Sus scrofa: one gene and its partner. The protein of the gene in region 1 interacts with the protein of each later gene in a pairwise test. Links are inferred from orthologs where the notes say so. Each region holds a gene or a part of one and is shown on either strand. Other genes may lie near its edges.

Evidence for each region. The genes of interacting proteins can lie anywhere in the genome.
Region 2: the proteins of EFEMP2 (region 1) and HOXA1 interact in a two-hybrid assay, tested with the Homo sapiens proteins (2 studies listed by BioGRID and IntAct). The link is inferred for Sus scrofa from reciprocal best matches to the Homo sapiens genes EFEMP2 and HOXA1.

Annotation. Positions count from the first base shown.
Region 1 is NC_010444.4:6,453,883-6,457,994, reverse strand, and holds the start of EFEMP2 (EGF-containing fibulin-like extracellular matrix protein 2), read right to left. Parts: upstream 2,841-4,112; 5' UTR 2,742-2,840; intron 2,385-2,741; 5' UTR 2,325-2,384; intron 2,017-2,324; 5' UTR 2,010-2,016; coding exon 1,899-2,009; intron 1,673-1,898; coding exon 1,624-1,672; intron 1,014-1,623; coding exon 807-1,013; intron 1-806. UniProt on the Homo sapiens protein: Plays a crucial role in elastic fiber formation in tissue, and in the formation of ultrastructural connections between elastic laminae and smooth muscle cells in the aorta, therefore participates in terminal differentiation and maturation of smooth muscle cell (SMC) and in the mechanical properties and wall integrity maintenance of the aorta.
Region 2 is NC_010460.4:45,476,164-45,480,393, forward strand, and holds HOXA1 (homeobox protein Hox-A1), read left to right. Parts: upstream 1-1,397; 5' UTR 1,398-1,496; coding exon 1,497-2,151; intron 2,152-2,632; coding exon 2,633-2,988; 3' UTR 2,989-4,143; downstream 4,144-4,230. UniProt on the Homo sapiens protein: Sequence-specific transcription factor. Regulates multiple developmental processes including brainstem, inner and outer ear, abducens nerve and cardiovascular development and morphogenesis as well as cognition and behavior.

The DNA of each region.
Region 1 (4,112 bases):
ACTGACACCCCCAAAACAGGAACGCACAGCCCACCCAACAGCACAAATAAGAATCTGCTGGTCTGGAGTCCCTGGGATATCGGCACCCCTACCCTGGGAGACCCCATGTCAGGGAAGCAGAGGAAATAAGGCCCTGTCCATGCTCCCAGGAACACTGATTGATTCCAGAACCTTCTTCTGAGGCCTATAGCACCCAGGAGTGGGGTGCAAACCAGGAAAGGGGAAGAGGCTGACAGCGAGCGCTCCCGCGGTGCACCTGCAGTGATCAAAAGGAGGATCCCGGAAGCTGGCTGGGCATGGGACGGGAGCTGGGCAGGCCCCCCACAGTGAGGATCTGGACAAGGGGCTGGATATTATTATGCCAGCGGCCCCGAGGAAGCTTTTTATTTTTTTATTTATTTATTTTATTTATTTATTTATTTATTTTGTCTTTTTTGTTGTTGTTGCTATTTCTTGGGCCACTTCCGCGGCATATGGAGGTTCCCAGGCTAGGGGTTGAATTGGGGCTGTAGCCACCGGCCTACGACGCCAGAGCCACAGCAACGCGGGATCCGAGCTGCGTCTGCAACCTACACCACAGCTCACGGCAACGCCGGATCTTTAACCCACTGAGCAAGGGCAGGGACCGAACCCGCAACCTCATGGTTCCTAGTCGGATTCGTTAACCACTGCGCCACGACGGGAACTCCCCCGAGGAAGCTTTTGAGCCAGGGAGGAACATGAGCTGTGAGTTTTTAAAATGCAGTGATAGACACTTGATAGAAGGATTGGAAGCCTCAGCACCAGGGCAACCGACCCTCACTCACCCACGCAGTTCTCTTGCTCATCCGGTTCATAGCCTGGTAGGCAGGGGGTGGCGTGTTCAGCAGGGGACACTGGTGGTGGTGGTCCCTCGCCATGCAGGTCATTGATGACAGCCGCCGAGCGGGGCAGGCACAAGTAGCCCCCGTAGTGGTTGATACATTTCATTTCCCCCTTGCAGGCCTCGGGGATGGTCAGGCATTCATTGACATCTGCGGAGAGGGGCCTGCTGGGCACAGCCAGTCTCCTGGGCTGGCCACGGAGGGGGTGGGCGGCAGGAGCCCAGTGCAGCCTCCTCTAAGCTGCGTGACCCAGGAAGGGCCTTCCCACTCTCCTCAGCTAAGGCTGCCTGCCCAGGACCACTTCCCAGTGCCACCAGGGCTGGTGGCAGGCTGGCTCTTGCTCCACTCACTTCCATTCTCTTATCCCCAAGAGGGTCTCTATGCCGCCCCAGAGCCCTGGTCCCAACTCAGCCCAAGAGTGAGGTGCAGGCCTTCTCGCCCACCCCCGCAGACGCTGCCCTCCCAGGTCACGATGGCACGAAGCTGGGTGGGAAAGTGATTAGAGGAGGTGGCCAGGAACCATGCCTCTGGGCAGCGCCCTGTTGGTCTCTGGACTCCTGGGGGGTGGGAGGAGGCTGTCCCATGTTTTTCTGAGAGGGAGGGGCCTGGATGGCTTCTCCACCCCCAGCTAAGCTGGCCCCCTGAGAACCAGAGCTGGCCACGGCCAGGCAGAGCTGGGCAGGGGACAGGCCACTGACTCCCACAGCAGCTCTCCGTGCTGGAGTTGCAATCCACTTCCTGGTGCTCCAAGCATACTCACCCCGGCAGTGCTGGCTGTCGGGGTCCCACTCATAGCCATCTGTGCATTCCTACAGGGGGACCAGAGGTGGCCAGTGGTCACCCCCTCTCCTCTAACTGACCAGGCCAAGACCAGAGCCCAAGCTTGGCCACCCTCCCCGCCTGCTCCAAACAACAGCTCCAGCTGCTCCACGGACCAGGGGAGGGGAGAACCTGCCCCAGCAGCAGCCACCCCAGGATCCTGGTCTTGGTGTCCCTGCCCAGCCCAGCCCAGGCCAGGGGCTCCACTGTCCCCACCGTGTAGCTGTCGGGCTCCTCCGAATCCTGGGGAGACGCTGCCCCCAAGAGCAACAGCAGCAGCGTCCAGAGCAGTAGAGACCCGGGGAGGCAGGAGGCGAAGGGGAGCATCCTGGGGCTGGGAGGTAGTGAGTGGGGGTCAGGGCGTCTGGGCCACGGATCCCCCATTGCCCGAACCAGGACTCAGAGACCTGGTCCCCGACACCACCCGCCCGGGACTGTGTCTGGGGCTTCGGAGCCTCCCAGGGCCGGGGGTCGACTGATCACGCAGGCCGGGGTTCAGGGCCCACCCGCCCCGGGTCGCCCCGCCCCCGCCCGGTCCCCCAGTGGCTCGGGCCGAGGAGCGCAGGCCTCTGGCTCGGTGCTGACGCCGCCGACTCGGCCGAGACTCTGGCTGGCGCCCTCCCCCCATGGACGGCCACTCACTTGGGCCCGTGACGGCCCGGAGGCCCGCGGCTCCGGCGGCTCGGCTGGCTCCGGTAGTGCCTGCGGGAGACGGACAGGCGGACAGCGCAGCTCCCTGGACGCGCGGCCCCAGGAAGCGCCCCCCGCCCGCCTGCCGCGGCGCGGCCCACCCCGGCGCCTCCGCCCGCCCCTCGGCGGATTCCTGAGCCCGCGCCAGGGGGAGGGACCCCGACCCCCGCTTCTCCGCCCCCGGCCGGCCACAGGCCCCACCCGGTCCCCCGCGGCGCCGCCCGGAGCCGCCTCCCGGCGCCAGGCCAGGGTCCCTTAGCACAGGATCCTGGGGCATTGACCCTGATGTCAAGCCCCCAACTCACTCTGGAGCCCCCAGGCTCTCAGTTTGTGCACCCAAAAATGTCATCCTGCGCACCTAGACCTTACCTAATCTGCACCCCTGGAATTCCTGTGCACCCACATCTTAATGCCAGGGACCCAGACTCTGCGCCTCCCAGAATGTCATCCTGGGCCCTTAGACTCCACCTAACCCTGGAACTTGCAGATCCTCCTCACTCTGCGCCACCAGAGTGTTATTCTGTGCACCCGGACAGTTATTCTGGAAATACCACAACCGCAACTTCATCCAGGGTCCCCAGACCCTCGCCCTGAGAAGAGAGACGCTCCCAGGTCCAGAACCGTCCAGTTCTGTCCCTTCTCCCTTCCATCCCCGGGACTGTCTTCAGCCAGGCGGTCCCTTCACTCCAGGACGGCCTCCCCCGGGCCCTCAGTCCCTGAGGCTACATCAGTTTGGGGCGGGGGCGGCAGTTCACTTTTGGCTCAGAATGAATGGAAGCCCCTGAGAAGTCGAGCAGGGCTGAACTCGGGCGTGCAGGGCTCCAGGGTCCGGGGCCATCACCTTCCTGGCCATCTTCCTACCAATGTCTCCCCCGCACACACCCCACCTCCCTGCCCCGGGCTGTCTGCCTCTTTTCCCAGGGAGACGGAGCGCCTTAAGGGGAGGAGATTGGGCGGAGCTGGCTCCCAGGAAGGGGCGTGGTCTCGCCCTGCCCACGTCTCAGGGCGGGGCCAGACGGGAAAGGGCTGCGTGTCCAGGGAACCCCTGCCTGGAGGCAGATGGCCAGCAGGAACTGTTAAGCCCTTTCCCACCCCAAGTGGTCCTCATAATCGCCCCCTATAGCAGCCCCGCCCGAGGGGGGTGTGTGAAGGAGAGGACATTCCAGGGGGTCCTGAGGTGACCCTTTCGGGTTCAGGGTGAAATGGAGAGCTCCTACCTCCCCTTCCCCCACATCCTCTAAGCAGCCCCCTCTCCCCGCATCCCTGGGGTGAGGGCGGGGGAGGAGGCTAAAAATAATAACTCCTTAAAACCAAAAAGACAGACAATAACAAGTGTCGGGGATGTTAAGGAGAAATTGAAACCTTGAAACGGTCATACACTGTGGGTGGGAATGTAAAGTGGGAGGACTCCTGGGGAAAACAGTCTGGCAGGTTCTCAAAATGTGAACACATGCCCCAGTGATGTCCCGCCTAGGTATACGCCCGGGGCATTGAAAACGTATGTCCACACCAAAAGCCTGTGCACGATGGTCATAGCAACACTAGTCATAAGAACCAAAATACAGGAGTTCCCCTCATGGCTCAGCAGTTAACAAACCCAACTAGCATCCATGAGGTCCTGGGTTTGATCCCTGGCCTTGCTCAGTGGGTTAAGGATCTGGCATTACGTGAGCTGTGGTGTAGGTCAAAGACGTGGCTCAGATCTGGTGTTGCTGTGGTTCTGGCATAGACCAGCAGCTA
Region 2 (4,230 bases), on another chromosome or scaffold:
GAACAGGACTCCTGTCCTGGGATGACGCTCAGATTTGCACGTGTCTCTCTAGGGAAGGACTTGAAGGTTCACACAGGGAACCACACAGCCAGTTTACAAAAGGGAGGAGGTGTTGTTGGGGAAGAAGAAAATGTCCTGTCCACCATCAGCCATCTGTCCACTGCCCCTCCCACCTGCCAGCCCCCACCCCCACTTCAGCTGTGCAGTAGAATGGGGGGGGGGTGGATGAAGGAAGCTCTAGCACGCCTAACATTCGCCTCCAGGAAACGAGAAACGTTTCTGGGGGTGGCGGGGTGGGAGGGGAGGTGGAGGGGGAGTTCATCGTACTTCACTGTGGTCTCGCCCTTTGAGGCCCAGGTCGGTGTACACAGGCTCCTGGGTCCTAGGGAGCCGGCAGATGGCCTGCAGCGCACGGCCCGGCCCCCACGCTGGCCACGTCGGCTAGCGTCATCTCTCTCCCCCGCCTCCTACCCCTCAAAATCCGGCAGCAGAGTTGCTCCGGATCCCGCAGGGCTCCCAGAACAGAGCTGAGTGGGGAGGAGAAAGGGGCGGAGAGCGAGGAGAGAGGGAGGGCGAAGAGCCGGGCCACCCCCGGCCTTTTCCGGCAAGCTTAGCTCCCAAGGTTCACCCGTTCCCGAGCATCGAATTACAGCAGCTCCCCGTTGCCACGCTAACAGCTCGTGGGGGTGGGGGAGGAACGGGGGCTTCAAGACCCTACAGGGAGAGGGAAGTTTCCTTTCTTGCGCTTGTCCCCTCCACGCCCACTCGGGTTCCCCCAGCCAGCCCTCTGCGCACTTCCCTCTCCTTCCGGAGACCTGGTGGTGGCCCAGCCTCGTCCCCCGCCACCGTTCTCGGCTCTCCTCACTGCCCCCAAGGCATCACAGAAGGGACGGCAGTGAAAGCGCCCGGGGAGCGACCCTTCCAGTTCCTCGCGTTCCGGGCTCAGCCAGTGTGCAAGTGGCGGCCCAGCGAGCTCCCTCCCACTGACTCCCGACCCAAGAGAGCGCGGAGCCCTCTTGGCGTCTCACCTCTTGCCAGTTCCTCTTTCTGTGCACGGTGGGGAGGGGGGCGGTGACCGAGGATGGCTCTCAGCCCCCACCTCCCGGAGGGGGGCGATCGGAGTCGGCCACTCGCAGAAGGCAGCCCCTGCTCCCCTTCGCCCCAACGCTGGGAATCTGCCCCTGCAGCCGCCGCAGCTGCTGCTGCCGCCCGGGCTGCCTGGGGGGGCGACTGCGCGTCACCTAGACTGAGGAGCGCCGGGGATTTAAATGCCACTGAAAGGGTGATCCATCACCGCAGGAGCCAGCAAACTTTCGCAGGAGGCTCCGCCATTGGCTGAGAGAGTCACGTGCCCCTCCCCTAGCGCCCTCCGCCCTCCCGCCCCCCCTCTTGCGCACTGTACATTCATATCATTTTTCTTCTCCGGCCCCATGGAGGAAGTGAGAAAGTTGGCACGGTCACTCAGGGCTTCGCAGGACCCGGTCACTCAGTGACAGATGGACAATGCAAGAATGAGCTCCTTCCTGGAATACCCCATCCTCAGCGGTGGCGACTCGGGGACCTGCTCAGCGCGAGCCTACCCCTCCGACCATGGAATTACAACTTTCCAGTCGTGCGCGGTCAGTGCCAATAGCTGTGGCGGCGACGACCGCTTCCTAGTGGGCAGGGGGGTGCAGATCAGCCCGCCCCACCACCACCACCACCACCACCACCATCACCACCCCCAGCCGGCCACCTACCAGACTCCTGGGAACCTGGGGGTGTCCTACTCCCACTCGAGTTGTGGTCCAAGCTACGGCGCGCAGAACTTTGGCGCGCCTTACAGCTCCTACGCGTTAAATCAGGAAGCAGAAGTAAGTGGTGGGTACCCCACGTGCGCTCCCGCTGTTTACTCTGGAAATCTCTCATCTCCCATGGTCCAGCATCACCACCACCACCAGGGTTATGCCGGGGGCGCGGTGGGCTCGCCTCAATATATTCACCACTCATATGGACAAGAGCATCAGAGCCTGGCCCTGGCCACGTATAATAACTCCTTGTCCCCTCTCCACGCCAGCCACCAAGAAGCCTGCCGCTCCCCTGCATCAGAGACGTCTTCTCCAGCGCAGACATTTGACTGGATGAAAGTCAAAAGGAACCCTCCCAAAACAGGTCAGTCTTGCCCTTCCATGAATGATCCTTGATTATTCAGGAAGGAGCCGGTATGCTTAGTTTCCAAGGAAAATTAATCAAGGTTTTGTTTTGTTTTTTTCTTTAAAATTCTTGCTTCCCACCGGTGTTGTAGGGTGTTGGGAGGCTGCCCAGGTGTGGTTGGCACAAAGGAACATCTGGGATTGTTGTGTTTCCAAGGGGGCTGAGTTTTAGAGGTTTTGGAAGTAGGACGTGGGAAAGTGGGTAGGTGTGTATGTGTGTGTTAATATCTCCAGGCTCCATTAATCACTGGTCTGACCATGCTAATGGGTGACTTCAGATGAACGCTTTACACCTCATCACTCACCCTCCCAAGCCCGGCTTGTGTTGAGAAATTCTTGATTCCCCCTTTGCCTGAATCTTGCTCTGAAGCCTACAGGGACTCTCATATCGAATATAAATTTTTTCCCCTTTTTTCCCCATCGCTTCCCCTTGCCCTCAGGGAAAGTTGGCGAGTACGGCTACGTGGGTCAGCCCAACGCGGTGCGGACCAACTTCACCACCAAGCAGCTCACGGAGCTGGAGAAGGAGTTTCACTTCAATAAGTACCTGACGCGGGCCCGCAGGGTGGAGATCGCCGCGTCCTTGCAGCTCAATGAGACCCAGGTGAAGATCTGGTTCCAGAACCGCCGAATGAAGCAGAAGAAACGAGAGAAGGAGGGCCTCTTGCCCATCTCTCCAGCCACCCCACCGGGCAGTGAGGAGAAGGCCGAGGAATCCTCCGAGAAGTCCAGCTCCTCGCCCTGCGTTCCTTCCCCGGGGTCTGCTACCTCAGACACTCTACCTACCTCCCACTGAGGCCGCCCCAGCCCCAGACTCGACTCTTCCGGCTGGGACTTCTTTCCCAAAGCACATTCTTAGCTTATCTTCCTGTCCATTTACAATCTCTCTCTTCCTCTCTGATCCTATCTGGGGAACTCCTGGCCAGGATACTGTGTTTCCAGTGAATTCTGGATTAGAGACTGGTGTGGGGGCAGGGGAGTGCTAGCTCCGCAATGCAAATTGAGTGCCAACATCAATTTTCTCAAGGCCCCTAACGCCCCTAGTTTTAGGAGATTTCTTTGACAGACCCTACAGTTCCTTTCAGATGCCCTTTGGAAAATAGTCTCCTTTGCCAGCAGAAACATGTCAGAGGGAGGCCTCTCATCTTATATCTAACCGTGTATTTACAGTTCTCCCCTACTCTGCCCTTAAAGTAGGATAGAGAGAGAAGAGAGTCCAGGAGCTCATGAGGAAGAGATGCACTATGAGCGTGTTTACACAATTAATTCACCCCTTAATTTAACTCAGTTTCATGTGTGTGAGTCTGCTGGTTGTAAATACTTTGTCCTGAAAGATTTATCTTTATACAGATTTTCTAGAAATGTTTAGATTAAGGGATGAAAATAGGGTGGGCAAACTCTCTAAGCTGGTACAACTTTGTATGTGATTATAGGTTAAAGACTAAAAGCTCCCAGTAAAATCAATCAGAGGCCTCAGAGGGTCGCCTCCGTTTGTTCTTTCAGCAAGTTAAGAAAGCCTGCAGCATAAAGGGTCAGAAACCTGGCTCCCTGGGCTGAGTCTCTCCCCATCCCCACGCCTTTCTCCTTTCTCTGGCCACACTCTTTCAAATTTGCGCTGGAGTATTCAGGACCCAAACGTATTATTTCACACCAGCTTCTTCCCTCCACAGTTATTGTAGCTGGATATGATGTATTTTTAGCTCAGTTGTTAATGTGATGGATGGCACAATGAATGTATATTTTGTGTGATTCGTGAATAGTCTTTTGCATGTCGCACAATGTCTTGATGTTCCCGAAGTACCACACTGAGTTTTATCAGTTATCCTTTGTGATAGTTCCCATTTCCTGTACAATCATGAACAGCTCCGAGATCCCAGAAGGATGTGATCCAGAGCAGAGTTTACGGGTCTTAAGATGTCTGTAATAAATATATTCAAGTTTCAGATATGCTTAAGCATCTCTGTGTCTGGCTTGGCTACAATTTGTTGGTCCCTACAAAGTTGGCTCCTTTCCTGTGGGGAAGGGGAGAAGGGTGTTG